Linked DNA regions of Tamandua tetradactyla. The main gene of each other region encodes a partner of the protein of the gene in region 2 in a complex. Links are inferred from orthologs where the notes say so. Each region holds a gene or a part of one and is shown on either strand. Other genes may lie near its edges.

What was found. Proteins that work in one complex are often made in the same cells at the same time.
Region 1: the proteins of YWHAH (region 2) and NUMB are in contact, whole or in part, in a crystal structure (PDB 5YQG), measured with the Mus musculus proteins. The link is inferred for Tamandua tetradactyla from reciprocal best matches to the Homo sapiens genes YWHAH and NUMB. Residues at the interface, in NP_035868.1 of Mus musculus: Arg57, Arg132, Tyr133, Leu177, Asn178, Val181, Glu185, Ile222, Leu225, Asn229; in NP_001129547.1 of Mus musculus: Gln274, Gly275, Ser276, Phe277.

Annotation. Positions count from the first base shown.
Region 1 is NC_135338.1:32,165,265-32,172,428, reverse strand, and holds the start of NUMB (protein numb homolog), read left to right. Parts: upstream 1-4,113; 5' UTR 4,114-4,703; coding exon 4,704-4,817; intron 4,818-7,164. UniProt on the Homo sapiens protein: Regulates clathrin-mediated receptor endocytosis. Plays a role in the process of neurogenesis.
Region 2 is NC_135331.1:30,700,123-30,708,165, forward strand, and holds the start of YWHAH (14-3-3 protein eta), read right to left. Parts: upstream 3,004-8,043; 5' UTR 2,883-3,003; coding exon 2,796-2,882; intron 2,468-2,795; exon of another isoform or gene 1-2,467. UniProt on the Homo sapiens protein: Adapter protein implicated in the regulation of a large spectrum of both general and specialized signaling pathways. Binds to a large number of partners, usually by recognition of a phosphoserine or phosphothreonine motif.

The DNA of each region.
Region 1 (7,164 bases), on a different chromosome or scaffold from region 2:
CCTCAGTTTTCCAAATCTTTTCCACTTTTTTTGTTTGGATTCTTAACTTTTTTATTGTGAAATATGACATATATACAAAAAAGCAATAAATTTCCAAGTACATCTTAACAAGTAGTTGTCAAACAGATTTTAAAGTATGGTATGGGTTACAGTTCCACAAGTTTTTGTTTTGTTTTTTTCTTTTAGCTGCTCTAAGAGACCAACAGAAATATCAATATAATGATTCAGCAGTCATACTCATTTGTTAAATACTACCTTCTGCCTTCTCTGTTTTACTCCTCCTTCTCTTTAAATAACATTGTTCTAGTTTGCTGGCTGCTGGAATGCAATATACCAGGAACAGAATGGCTTTCAAAAATGGGAATTTAATGAGTTGCTAGTTTACAGTTCTAAGGCCAAGAAAATGTCCCAGTTAAAATAAGTCTATAGGAATGTCCAATCAAAGGCATCCAGGGAAGGATACCTTGGTTCAAGAAGGCCAGTCAGAGTCTCTCTCTCAAGTGAGAAGGCACATGGCGAACACAGTCAGGGTTTCTCTCTCGTCTGGAAGGGCACATGGCGAATATGGCGTCATCTGCTACCTTTCTCTCCTGGCTTTCTGTTTCATGAAGCTCCCCAGGAGGCATTTTCCTTCTTCATCTCCAAAGGTCGCTAGCTGGTGGGCTCTCTGCTTCTCATTGCTATGTTGTTCTGCTCTCTCAGAATCACTCATTTTCCAAAGTGTTACTTCTTTTGTAGAACTCCAGAAACTAATCAAGGCCCACCCAAATGGGTGGAGACACATTTCCCCCAATCCAGTTTAACAACCATGCTTGATTGGGTTATCTCCAGGGAGATGATCTAATTACAGATTCAAACATATGGTATTGAATAGGGATTATTCTGCCTTTACGAAATGGGATCCAGATTAAAACATGGCTTTTCTAGGGGACATACATCCTTTCAAACCAGCACAAACATATATATATATATATATATAAGCACTAAATTTCAAAATACAACACAGCATTTAGTTGTAGAACTGATTTCAGAGTTTAGTATAGGCTTAAAATTCCACAGTTTTAGGTTTTTATTTCTAGCTGCTGTAAGGTACTGGAGGCTAAAAGAAATAGCAGTATAATGATTCAGCACTGATTAGATTTTAATATGCAATTATCAGCCCAGTAACAACTACCAAAATGCTCACAAAATGTTAGAATTCCTTTAAAAACAGCTATTACATATTCTTCTTTTGCATAAAATATGCATTAGTGTCAACTGTTTCCTCATGATCAAAATCAGTCTATATAAGAAGAGATGATACAAATCAGTAAGTAAGAGAACTAGTAATGAACAAATGGTAAGAAAGAGACTTTTTGTTGACAGTAAAGAAGAAAGAGCACCTTTCTGAAAACAAGTCCTTCAGCACTGAGGAGACATGAAATTATGTGCTACACAGTGATGCATTATCTGTGAAACTTGTCTTGACCTGTGAGAGGAAGTAAAGTACTTTCTCGTAGCTAAATCAGACCTTTGGGAAGGTATAAATTTTAGGCTTTAGTAGCGCATAAATAGTGCAACATTGTAAAATGATCTTAAAAATTCTCAGATGTACAATAAAGTTTCTAAACCATTGATTTTAAGCAGTCTCAAAAACACCCTGATCTTTTTAACCCAGCCCTTTCTACATGTCCAGCTTGTGCCAAATATGCACCTCCTGCAACTATAGACCTTTTGGCTCCACACATCTTCATGAGGCTCTCTAATTTCTGTTACTTGTAGGTTAATAAATAAAAAGAATGGTTTGTACCATTTCATTGAGACCGTAGCTTTTCACAGTCTGGGTTCATCTTATTTGGTATTGGTGGCCCTTCATTTACAGAGTGGCTGCCAGGCACACAAATGAATAGAGCACACGCAGTTGGCCCCAAAGCTTAAAGTACTCATGGTCAGATAAATCAAAATATGCCATGTATTATAAGGAAAGACTTCATTCCTCCAGAGGGAAAGAACAGTCAAATGCTTTACACTTACAAATGGTGTTTTCCACACAGACTGAGGGGCTTTGTGGAGATTTAACACCAACTGAAAGGATTACTATATTAATTTTCTAGCACAGAATGCAGTGTACCAGAAATTGAATGCCTTATTTAAAGGGGAACTCAATAAGTTATCTGCTTACAGCTCTAAGGAAGTGAAGGTGAACAAATTTAGCCACCAAGCAAGAGGTCACCTAAACTTAAGAATGGACAATGGGTCAGGAACACCTCCGCCAGCGAGGCGGTCACATGGCCGGCATCCACTGGTCCCCTGCTCCCAGGCCCCGTTGCCCTCCGTTCCTCTGGGGATGGGATTCCCTCACCTGGCCTCTCTGAGATGGTTTCTGTCAACCCCCCAACCCCATCCCACCTCTCTCCAGGTTCTGCTTTTCGTAATATCTCATGGCAATGTCTTCTGGGCTGCAAGCACCTCCAAAGATCCATGTCTGTGTCTTCCACATGTCCCCATCTGTGTCAGTCTTTTCCACTTTTAAGTTTTTTAGTATTAAATTCTAAATTTGAGAGCAAGTGGGTAATTGAAGATAAGGCTATTCTTGTCAACTTTTTTTGAAAATGTTTTCTTAGCTTGATTTAAGACATTTTCATCCCCCACCCTTAGTAATAATAACTAAGAGGCAATATACATCTCCATGAAAACAGCAGGTGAGCTTATGGTTTACACTGTTTTTGTATTCAGAAGTTAGGGTTGTCAGAATCCCAGTTTTAAGGTTCATTTCAAATGCTGCATCTTCAATGAAGTTTTTCCTCATTTCCTCATTCTAACTCATGTGATCTCATCACTTTCTTAAAGTACATAGCAATTTGTGCCTCTCCCAAAACATTTGTAGTGTTCCATTATCTAGTATCTTTATATTCTCTTCCTTGACTACAAGAGCCTAGAGGTTATGGATTATGTCTGACTACTTTTTTGTACCCTGTATTTTGTACTTAGTATTGTGATTACATTGCACGTATTAGGTGTTATATAAATATTTTATCTCAGTTGCCCTATTAAATTGAAATACTTCCAAATTCTTTGTTTTTAATTTCACAGCTTAATTTTGCCTAAATAGTTATCTCCGTAAATCAGAGATCTTAAATGTACAAGCTGAATATTCATACTGGGGACACTTTCCACTTTTGAAAGCTAAAGCCCAATTCTATAATTGTAATTCTGTAATGTTTACATTTTGCACACCATATATTTTCTTTAAGGGCAGAAAGAAATGTGCAGAGCAGGGCAACAAATTCCAAGTCAAATAGATTCTTAACATTCTACAGAACCACTCAGTAAATTCTACAAGAAGATGTAGAATTTTTTGTTTTAGTTTATGTGAAAAGGAGGGATACATCTACATGCGGTTCAATATAAGGTGCTCTAAATATGAGGTTTTGTGTCAATTTACCTTGTACTCCAGTGACCCCTGGGTCCATTTCCACCCTACTTTGACACCATGACCTTTTTTTTTTTCCCCATTCTGTTTTTCTTTTATAAAAATCGTTTTTTTCTTAGACTGGGAGAGGCTCCTTCTTGACACAGCTCTTCCTGTTTTGTACCCCTTAAATACTACTAGTCTTAGAAGGGATGTGGGCCAGCTGTGGTTTATGTGAGTTGTTCTCAACAAGCAATAGTGTCTGTCTGTCTCCCTGTCTTTTTCTATGTATATACATTATTTTCTATTTCATATACCCAGTAATTTATCTTTAGGCATTTGACTTTTACCTAGAAGAATTATTTGTTATGTATTAGAGGAGATTGTGGTTCTACAATAGTATGGATCTTACTGTTGCTGCAGTGATTTGAAGTAGTCATCTTTCTTATACCATTATAATAATGTCTTGCTTTCCTGGGGAAATAGAAAACTTCCTTCATTTAAAATTTTATGTACCTGTGTCTTGTTTGGAGTCACCATATCGTATAATGCAGCAATAATTATGTCACTGACAACAAGTTTGTGAGATATTTATTATTCTCATTTTACAGATGAGGAAACTGAGGCTTGGTGAAGTTATGAAACTTGTCCAAAGTCACACAGCTTGTAAAGGGCACAGTCAACATTCAGAGCCAGGTCTGTCCAACTACAAAACTTTTAATCATGGCCATGAAACTTTGAAATAGCTGTGAGGTATCAACCTATATAATTTATTTTGGTATTCATTTTGCTTAACTGTTCTTTAACCTTTATTGACATTTTTTTAATGGTGTTTTTTTGGTCCTTCATAATTTTACTTGTCTTTTAAATATTGTGAAAAGCAAGATAGTAATTAGAATCTGGGCTCCAAATCCAGATTACCTGGGATGAATACTAGTTTCCCCATGGTGGTAGTTAGGTGTCAGTTTGGCCAGGTGCCTAGTTCTGTTGCTGTGAAATGGAACTATTAACATTTGAAACTCGTCTATGGCTGATTACGTCTGCAGTTGGCTAGAGTGCCTTCACAATGAGTGATGTTTAATTTTTTAAATTTAATTTATTTTGTATGATCAAACCAAAACAACATACAAGCATGAACATTCTTAACATATGAACATTCTGTGTATGGTGTACAGTCAATGGCTCACAATATCAGAGTGATGTTTAATTTAATTAGCTAGCAGCTTAAAAGGGAAAGGGCAGAAGAGAGCTCAGTGCAGCACAGCTGCAGCAGCTCAGCGTACCTCATCTCAGCCCTCGCAGCTCAGCCCAGATGTTTGGCGATGCAAAAAGAAATAGCCCTGGGGAAAGCTGTTGGAACCCCAAAGCTGGAAGAGAAGGCTGGCAGACATCACCCTGTGCCTTCCAGTGTAAGAGAAAACCTCAGGTGAAAGTTAGCTGCCTTTCCTCTGAAGAACTATAAATTTTTTACTAAATAAATCCTGTTTTATCAAAAGCCAGTCCATCTCTGGTGTGTTGCATTCTGGCAGCTTTGGCAGACTAAAACACCCACTTAACTTGTTGTGTGACATTAGGAAAGTTACTTTTCTGTACCTTAGTTTTCCTCTTTGTAAAATTGTAATAGGATTGTTGTGAAGATTAAAAGATTTAATATGTACAAAACACTTATTACAGTGCCTGACACATAGTAGGCCTTCAATAAATGTAACTATTATTACTGTTTTCATCTCCTAATAGCCAGTAAATCAAATCATTATTTTCAATTCTCTGCTAGGAAATTTGGGTAAGGCAAAGTTCAGACAGCAGCATTAGGTCTCACAAAACTTGTGTAAGCCAAAATTAAATTTGAATAAGTTATATGTAAGGGGAATCATTAAACTTCTGATTAAGTTCAGCTCTACTGTAAAACATTGGCAACTGCTTTTTGGTCACACATGTATGAGATCTTGCATGTATTGGAACCATGCATGCATAAGCCCACTAAAAATATCCTTTCAGCCTAATAAGAGAATTCATTATATCTGAACACTGCATTATGAATATATTTCTTTTTTATTCTTGTAAGCACATATATTCAGAATGAATGTCTGCATTTTCAGGTGGCTTGTAAGGAGATGTTGTTTTCGCAGTATTGACAGTTACCAGGAACTAGAAACTCTCATGTATTATGTACATAATACTTCTTGCAGGCTTGGTATCAGAACTTATACCATGATGAATGTATATCACTGCCTGACCCCTAAATCAGTGGGATCAAACTCAGCCATGTACTCATCTTCACTTAGACTTGGTTGTCGTAGCTGTCCAACTATTGCTACAATTAAAGTAAGATCCCTGTGATTATAGTTATAACTAGTGACTAGTTATAAGTTTATATCAATTGCAGAAATATCCTTGACTGGGAAATAATTTCAGTCAAGATATGCACAAATTCAGAAACTATTGTTTAGAGAATGAGATTTATCTTGCATATGAGGCCAGGATCTCTGCAGCTTTTAATCTATGCATGCATTTAGATTTTCCCTTTATTTTATGATATAGCCTCCTCCTAACATTCAATATAGTATATATTTTGAGTTATTTAGATTTTTGAAATCATCGTTCAATTAATTTATTTTTCCATAGAAGTCTGAAGTCTGTTAGATTTAATTTTTTTTTTTTTTATTTTAACATGGACAGGCACTAGGAATCGAACCCGGGTCCTCTGGCGTGCTGAGCCACTGTGGCCAACCCTAGATTTAATTTTTAATTATCTTATATTTTGTTATTATTTCTGTTTACTGATGTGAACTCTTTTTTGGTATATAGGTCTATTATGTTCAACCACCTTACTGAATTCTTTTATTAATTCTAATAATTTATGAATGCTTTTAGATTTTCTATGTAGTTAACTATTGTGAATGAGAATTTTTTTCCTTTCCGATGCTTCCACCTTTTATTTCTTTTTCTTGAATTATTTATGCTTGCCTTATTTTATGAGTTCCAATGTAACTATAAAAGGTGGACATCCTTGGTGTACCTAAGATTTTAAAAGAAATGCTTGTTATGTTTTGTCATTAAGCATGTTGTTTGCTTGATTCCCAGACCATGCACTGCACCCCGCCCCCCAAAAGAAGAGTAATGTTTGGTATAGGTTTGTGGTAGATAGTATTTGTAGGTTAAAGAAGTTTCTGTTTCTAGTTGACAAAGATTATTTTTGCATGTGAAAAATGAGTATTGAGTTTTATATTTGATACTTTTTCTGCATTTTTTGGAATGTTCATACAGTTTTCCCTGTTTATTCTGTTAATATGATGAATGACATTTATAGGTTTTCTAATGATGAATGATCTTTGCATTGCTGGAATGAACCTAACTTTGTCACGATGATCTTTTTTTTATGTGCAACTGGATTTAGTTCATTAATATTTTGTGTAAGATTTTACACCTATGTTTACAACTTGGCCTATTTTTTATTCATTTTTTAAAATTTTTATTAATAAAACCAGTCATCATACAATATGAACATTCTTTTTTAATCACATTGTTGTATATTTATCATCATGATCATTTCTTAGAACATTTGCATAAATTCAGAAAAAGAAATAAAGCAGAAAAAAGAAATTCATGCATACCATACTCCTTACCCCTTCCATTCATTGATCACTGACATTTCCATCTACTCTATTTTGACATTTGTTCCCCCATTATTTATTTATTTTTAATCCATATGTTTTACTCATCTGTTGATAAGGTAGATAAAAGGAGCATCAGACACAAGGTTTTCACAATCA
Region 2 (8,043 bases):
GGGGCAACACTGTTGTTTCCAGTATGCATGATGTTTTTCTTACAGCTTACTGACACCATCCTTCAGGTGACACTGGTAGCACAGAGAACATCAATTATTACAGACAGGCAGTATTACGTGACCATTTAAATGACACAGGATATAGAATAAGTCAGAAGACTAACGGTTGAAAACTGACTGGTAACATCAACACTCCTACTTCTACACTTCAGAGAAACTGAGGCCAAGAGACGTAAGGTTCAAGTTCAGAGCGATGGCACCAGAACATCCCTTCACTCAGGTGCCCGGCTCCAGGTCCCTAGAGCAGTCTGTTTATGCCCTTCCACCACCCTGAGGAGACCCACATAAACCCAGAGGGTGACTTGAATTCAGACTCAGCAAAAGCTTCTAATTAAGGTCTATGATATTAATAAGACGAGGACAAGCGTTCCCAATGACATTCATGATGAATTCAATCTACAAACACCAAATTAATAAGTAAAACATAAGACCTCTGACAAGTCCATTCCAATAAATAGGTGGCAAAAAAAAAAGTTTTAATAGTGGGGACATATTAACAAAAAGTTGTTTTTAAAACAAGAATTACCTTAAGGAAATGGCTTATAACAATTCTGCAATGACACAATTAGTGCTTGACTTGAATTTTCAAAGCTATGTAACTTGTTCAATCATTTCAGACACAGATAATATAGGTACCCAGCATAGTAAAGGATCCATTCGCTTGCAAAACACTACCTTAAAAGCCTCAGAGAAAATCTGCAGACATAGCAGCTAGAAGCAAGAAAGCATTTTCCAAACATGCTTATGAAGACCAGAAAGTCAATTTTTCACTGCCCAAACTGAAATTCATTCTGGTAACACCTCTTCATCCTTTCCTCACTTTCCAGACCACAGTACTTCAGGTTTCCTACAGCTTCAAAATGTACCCTCTGGGCATTTTTCCTGAATTTCAATTCACCTTCCTTTAAGGCCCATCCCTACTTTCTTTCCAACATCTTTACTCCCCAAAGGACTCCTGACACTGTAGCCCTTAAGGGACACTCAGGGAGTGAGCAAGGGCCTTCCTAAAATATCCCACAGAAAGGCCTCAGACTGCATAATGCTAATATCACTCAGTTACCAAGAGGTTCACTTAAATGTGAATGGGTATGAGGTCAGAATCAGTTTTATTCCAAAGATAATTAAGCTTCCTGGTCCCTTCCAAGGAACATGCTCTCACAGCCAGTCCAATTTCTGTAAAATTGGCAAAATTATTTTTTTTCTTCTTCAAGAGGCATCCCCTCCCTCCGAATTACATAAGTGTCAAGCCCCAAACTTACATTCTTCCCTCCTCTGGATGAAAAACTCCTATCTAACCCACTACAGCATGCCACTGCTCAGGTCAGGATCACCAATGAATCAACAATTTGGTTGTTGGTCTTGGTTTCCAAACAAATCTAATTAAATTAGTAACCAGCACCACCACTACAGGAAAGAGAACTCTTCAAGTATTCTTCTTACCTGGATAATCCTAAAACTGGTTTCCAGAATCTATTTTAGATCATAATAATATCAAATGCTTTAAAATGAGCTTTTGGAAAGACACTGAAATTGTAGGGACCCTCTGGATTTGTTGTTTTTCTTTGAGAGATCCCTTCAGATGGCCAGCAAAGGACAAATGAGCTTTGATCCAAGGCGATGAACCTCACTTAAGCCCCCTAAAAATTGTCAGGAGAACAGGTTAAAATGCAGACATCTGAGTCCCACCCCGGAGTCTTCAGGTCGAAGGTGGGGCCCAGGGGGCTGCTGCGAGGTCTCGGGAAGGTTGTAGGCTGAATGAACAGAGCAGGTTGGTGGCAGCTGCCGCGGCTCCACCACTGTGTGACCTTGAGGCAGAGAGAACTAGGGTTCATTTAGAGAAAACATAAAATAACGTGAAGAGGGCAGGGACAGTGAGAGGAGAAGCGGAACTCGACGCACAGCAGCGCAGGTGGTGTCCAATCCACGGAATCTGTTAGGGTGTGGCTGGGCACTACGGCTCCACCGGAAATCAAGTTGCAGAGTTCATGTGCGAGGGTCTCAGGAAAGCAAAGGTACACAGGTTCGTCTCGCCCAGAAGTCACGTCTCATTTTAATCTCGAGTCCGACAGGGGCAGCATCAACCCGGGGCTAGGGAGTATGAGCCCAGGCTAGACCCCACCCGCCGCCCTCCCGCTCGCGTCCCTGCGAGAAGAGGGTCTCGGCACACAAAGCCAGGGCCGGGTTGTGGGAAGGTGGGACGAGCACAATTCGGGCGAGCGGAGCAAAGGAGAGAAGAAGACCACAGACTCCAGGTCGTGACAGAGAAAAATAGGGGAGGAGGGGCGTCACCCACTCGGCAACTCTTTATTCCCAGGTGAAGGGCGGAGGGCGGCGAGGCGGCATGTAGCCCCCAGGTCCCGGTGAAAGGGGTCAGAAAGGGGGAATGTGGCTCCCGCCTATTTCCTCCGGTTCCCCCTCCCCCACCCACTGAGCCGGGATGCGGCGACCCCCGCCCACTCGCCCGCAGGAGGGCTCCGCCGCCCGCGCGCCCGCCCCTGGGGCTGCATTCGCGACCCCCAGCAGCTCCCCCGCCTGAGACACGACTGGGGTCCGGCCGCAGGAAATGGCGGGGCGCCCGGCGCGCGCGGGAAGCACCGGCTGCTGGGGGCGGCTCCGCCCTGCAGGGTCGCAGGGGGCACCCCGGGGCATAGCGGGACACCCCGACCGGCCGGCTGCCCCATCCCTTCCCCGATTTGGACCCCCAGGCCGGCCGCGCGGGTCCCCCGGCGTCTCACCGCCTTCATGGCGGAGGCCATGTCGTCGTAGCGCTCCGCCTGCTCGGCCAGCCGCGCCCGCTGCAGCAGCTGCTCCCGGTCCCCCATGTCGCTACGGCTCGGTCTCGCCTCGCGTCCCGCACCGCTCGCCCACTCTCGGTTCGCCGCGGAGGCCGCCGCCGCGCACGCGCACTGGCTCCCGGCCGCCGAGGGAGGCTGAGACCGCGCCGCCGCCCGCGCCCGCTCGCTGGCTAGTCCCGCGCGCAGTGGCTTCGCGTCGCGAACACCGCGGAGGGAGGAGAGGCGGGCGTGCCGAGGGGGAGGGGAGGATGGGAGGGCGCCTGCGCAGTGGGAGCTGCTGGGCCGGGCGGCGGGGAGCGGCGAGAGTGGGAGGGGGGAAGGGCGAGCTGGCCCTAACGGTCTATTTCAAGGTGACGTCACCTACTATAAATAGCCGCCACCGCGGCCCCGCCCGAGAGCCGCGCAGGCGCCCTGCGAGTGCTGCATTTTACCGCCGCAGAGGTGGAGGTGGGAGCTGGGTGAACCGGTTGGAGACTGCGGAGCCGGAGGGCTGGGTGTGGTGATGGCGGCTGCCTAGGCGGCGCGTTGCCACAAACTCATCCTGCAAAGCGCGCCTGAATGCACGTTAGCGGCCTGGCCTGAGGAGGGTCCAAAACGCAAATAAACCTCCTGCGTGGAGAAGCCGGGAGGGCGTACGCCCGGAGGGGTGGGGCGGATTCGCCCCCGCCCCCGTAGCCGCAGCAGCGTGGAGTCCCTCCCGGCCCCTGGGTTGCACGGGCCACACCCTGGCGGTATCGAGCCCCGCCCTTGGGAACCCCCTTACCACACTACCACAACCGCCACCACCACACACGCGCAATCCTGGGCTGCAGAGCTGAGCTCCCACCCTGAGAGGTGGCGTCCGGCCTCACAGTCACGACGCCCTTGCAGGGAACTGGCCTAGTGCTGGGACGTCTACAGGCGTTATTGTATTTAATACGCACCACCCACCCTTGTCTGTGGACGCGGCTGGTCTCCCCATTTTTCAGTTGTGGAGCCTGAGGCAACGTGAAGTTAGTGACTTGCTGAAGGTTGCACAGCCGTCCAGTGATAGGGCCAGGATAAGGGTGCAAGCTCAGGCAAGGAAGGGGTCGGCCAGTCACTGAGCTCCTTTCAGTCATGGCATTCGGTGCGGCTTCCAGGCAAGCCGGGAAAACCTCGCTGACCAAAGCATGCCGGCCACGTACAATATATATGGCAAGGGCAGCGCGGAAGAAGAGGCCTTAGGCTTTCTGAAAGTTCTGTTGAGCACCTGCTGCATATTTAGCACTGAGAGGATAGGGTAGCTACAGGAATGAGTAATATATACCCCTGCCGCTAAGCAGCACAGATCTAAATATGCGAGAATAGGTAATCTGGGCCTTGAGAGGGAGGGAAGAGGTATTGGGGCGGGGGGGCGTACAGTATGGACAAAGACTTGACTTGGCAGAGAGGATAAAGACAAAAGAGATAGTGAAAAGAGACGCTTGCCATTGGGAATGAGGTTGGGTAGGGTGAGATTATAGAGTGTTTTAAATGCCAGATTGAAGATTTGAGACTTGATTCTTCGGAGCTACAGAGGTAACAGAAGTCATGTTTCTGGCCAGGAATCTGGCTTCAGAAAGTAACATGCATTAGAAGGGAAAGGGAGGGACTGAAGACTGAACCGTTTCTGGAACTCGGTTTTAGCATCTGAAAAATTGGACTTGAAGGACTGTTAAAGGACTGAAACATAGAAATCCTCATTCTGAAATGTCACGGTCACTGCTGTCCAACTCCTTATCCTGCATAAAGAGAAACTGAGTCTCAGAAGGAGAGGCTGGCTCCAGTTTGTGCTGTGAGTGAGCAGATCTGGAGCCTCCACACAGGTCTCCAGCCACCCAGCCCTCCTCCTCTGGTGCTAAAAGGAGGCTTGGCACCCATAACGCAGGATTAAGTATGGGTCTGGGGAAGAGCCACTCCCCACGCTTCACCCGTGTTTTGAAGAGTCACCTTTGCTGACTAGAAATGGAATCCAGGTTAGCAAACCAGGCTGTTCTTTCCCCTCGTGAATATCTTTAAAGAGTATGATAGCTCGTAATTAATCTTCCACCCCATCTAGCAGAGAAGGCGCTCTGAGAGGCAGGGCCAGGGCAGGATGAGGACGGTATGGTGAAACTCTGGTTCCTTCCAGCCTTTAGAGGCTATTGTTTTCCAGATCATGCTGGACTGAGAGTGATTTCAAAACAATGAGAAATAGGTAGAGCTGAAACAGTCTAAACAGTTGATTTTGACATTCCTAAATTACACTTTGGTTCTTCCAGAAAGCCTTTCTTTCCTTCTCACCAAACTTCTCTGTCTTCACTTCTTCACCTCCCACCCAGCCCTCAGCCCACTGTACTCTGGCTTCTACCCCCTCTCCACCCAGATGACCCTCGCTGAGACCACCAATGGCCTCCTTGTTGCCAAATCCAAGGATGCTTTGGAGTCTTCACTTTCCTGACCCACAACGGCTCACCCCTCCTTCGAACACTCACCTCTTAGCTTTCATGACCCTGCACTCTCCTGGTTTCTCCTCAACTGTTCTGGCCACTCCTTTTCTGTTTCCTGTGTGAGTTTGTCTTCTAGGCCCACCGTGAAATGCAGGGGTTCCTCAAGGCTTCGTCCCAGGCCCTCTCCTCTTTCCATTCTGCCCATTCTGGGTGACCTTGTCCAACCCCACTCTTGAAAGGAAAGGAAGATTTACCATGTTCCTAGCATCAGGTAAGGGGTTTTGCAGAGATGGGCATATTTTTTTTACTTCAAGATACCCTTGAAGTAAAAGGCAATTTCCACCCCCATTTTACAGATGAGGAAACTGGCTCAGAGATGTTCCCTGACTTGAAGAAAGTCGCCCAGCTGGTAATCAACAGAGCCAGGATTCAAATTCAAGTCCATCAGACTCCTAAGCCTGATGGCCCCACACTGCCTTTTGGTGTTAGCCAAAAAGGGCTCAAGGTATGACTCCCCTTTTGGAGTCATTTGGATTATGAAAAGCACACATAAGCCTCCTTCTTGTAGCCTGCATCTTACCAGCATCTTCCCCCTCAGGGAAGAGAGCTGCCAGCTCCCCCAAAGCCTTATAAATCAAAGACCAGTGGGGTGTGCCCTGGATGGAGCACCTACTGCCAGGGCTCCAAGCCTGATCAATAAACAAGCATTTGACCAGCTCCAAAGACAGTCCATGAGTGAAGTGAAGGGGGCTGACAATATCCAACACCATGTTGTTCCAGGGCCCGAAGCAGGCCCAGGGTAGGGGCCAGGCTGGAGCTTTGCCTGGGACAGGGGCTTTTTCCGGGAACAGAGCAATGCCTCCGCTATCCCCCGGCTGGCTAAGAAAGTATGTGTGTGAGGGGGGAGGAGGGTAGAAAGAAGCTAGTTCTGGACTTGGATTCAAATCCTACCCCACCAGTTACCAGCCCTCTCTGAGTCTGTTTTCTCTCTTGCATACTCGCGCTAACCACACTTATCTCTTGGGGTTATTGTGGGATCGGTGGCATAATGCCAGCACATGAAAGCACCCGCCATCACTGCCGTATAATAATCCCTTGCTCCTGAGTCAGTGATAAAGATGCTTCTCATGTAGGACTTGTTTTCTGAAGCATTGCCAGAACCCTCAGCCGGAGACCTGTGAATAGGTGACCCAGAAAAGGCACGTCCTGTTTTTTTTGTGGGTTTTTTTTTTTACACCCTCGGGTACTCTGGGACACTCTGAGTTCCCTCAGAAGTCTGGATACCAAGGAACATATTACAAAGAAGACCTTGTGTTGTTGTGGAGAGGCAGGTGTTCATACCCTTGGCCTGGATGCCATCGCCCAGGGAGTCGGGTACCCAGATAGGATTTTAATTTTTTTTTTCCCCAAACGCACCAAAGTGAACTTTCTAATCCTGAGCCAACGATAATAATGGCATGAGCAGCAACTATTATATGGATGAGGAAATTAAGAACTAGAGGAATCAGACTTGCTCTGTGGTCCAGGCAGCCACCCATGGTCTCCCCAGCTCACACTCGCTTTCTGTTCATTCGCTTTGGCCCTAGTGTCCTTTTGCTGATACCAAATTCCACCCCCGTATCCAAGATGAGCCTGAGCACACAGATTTCTGGATCTATCCAAAGCCTTTCACTATTCTTTCAAAGCCCGATCTGGGAGCAGATTGACTCCCAAGGCAGCTCTTGGCATTAAGAAGTGAGAAAATGTCCTGGTAGCTGCCATCTGCAAGCCGGTGGAGCTTGGGGGCCCCCCCTTTGCAGCACCCGCCCTCTTCAAACGTGTTCACAGGAGCTTGGCTCTGGAGAAGAAGGCAAAGCTGTCACCTATGGAATCCCAGTGACTACAAGGGCGAAAGGGGTTTGCGCTTTAAGCCCTGCAGATGACCCAGGAGCTTGTGTTTCTTAGCCTGAATTTTCTAGGTGGTTTGCTGCAAGCTTCTCCTTGATTCTCACTGGGTGAGCCTAGGCAAGGAAGGGAAAGCTGGAGGACAGTGCCAGAGAGCCCCATAACTTCCTCTCTCTGAATCTTTGGATTTCTTATCTGTAAAATGGGCAGCTACACTGGCAGATGGCAGAATCCTTTCTTTTTCCAGTTCTGAAGGTCTAGGGCATTTCACCATTGTGAGGTCAGCAAACAATGGCGTGACAACTCAAGAGGATGCAAGTGGGATGTTTCAGAGGGCAAGTGTTTGGATTGTGTCCTTACATGAAGGGTGATTCCATAGCAGCAGGCCACAGGGTAGCAGTTTGCTCCCCCTTTGTTTAGAAGAAGTTGAGATAATTGTTCCCGTTCTTCACAGATGAGGAAACAGGCCCAGAGAGGTATGTGAGTTGCCTAAATGCAGCCCAGAGAGCAAGGGGGAGGGTCTTCCAGCTCCACCTTTGTTTCCACTGCTGCCCTTACCTTCTGAGAACCCAACAGCATTCTTTTGGTTGTTGAGCTGTTAGAAGAACCAAAGTGGCGGTAGACTGCTGGGTAAACCTTACTCTGAGAAGTAAGGTAGAGGGTCTCTGAGTTTTCACCAAGGTTCCCTGCCAAGCAACTTTGCTTAAAAAAACCCATCTTTTCCTTCCTAGTTTGTCAGTAGGAGGTGAGCAGATTGCTACAGCCTTCTGTCTTCTTCCAGCCAACACTGGCAGGCTGGCCCCAACTCAGGAAACACAAGGATCCAGGAAGACCAAAGCCACACGAAGAGACCAACTCCAGGAGGCTGGTCTTGG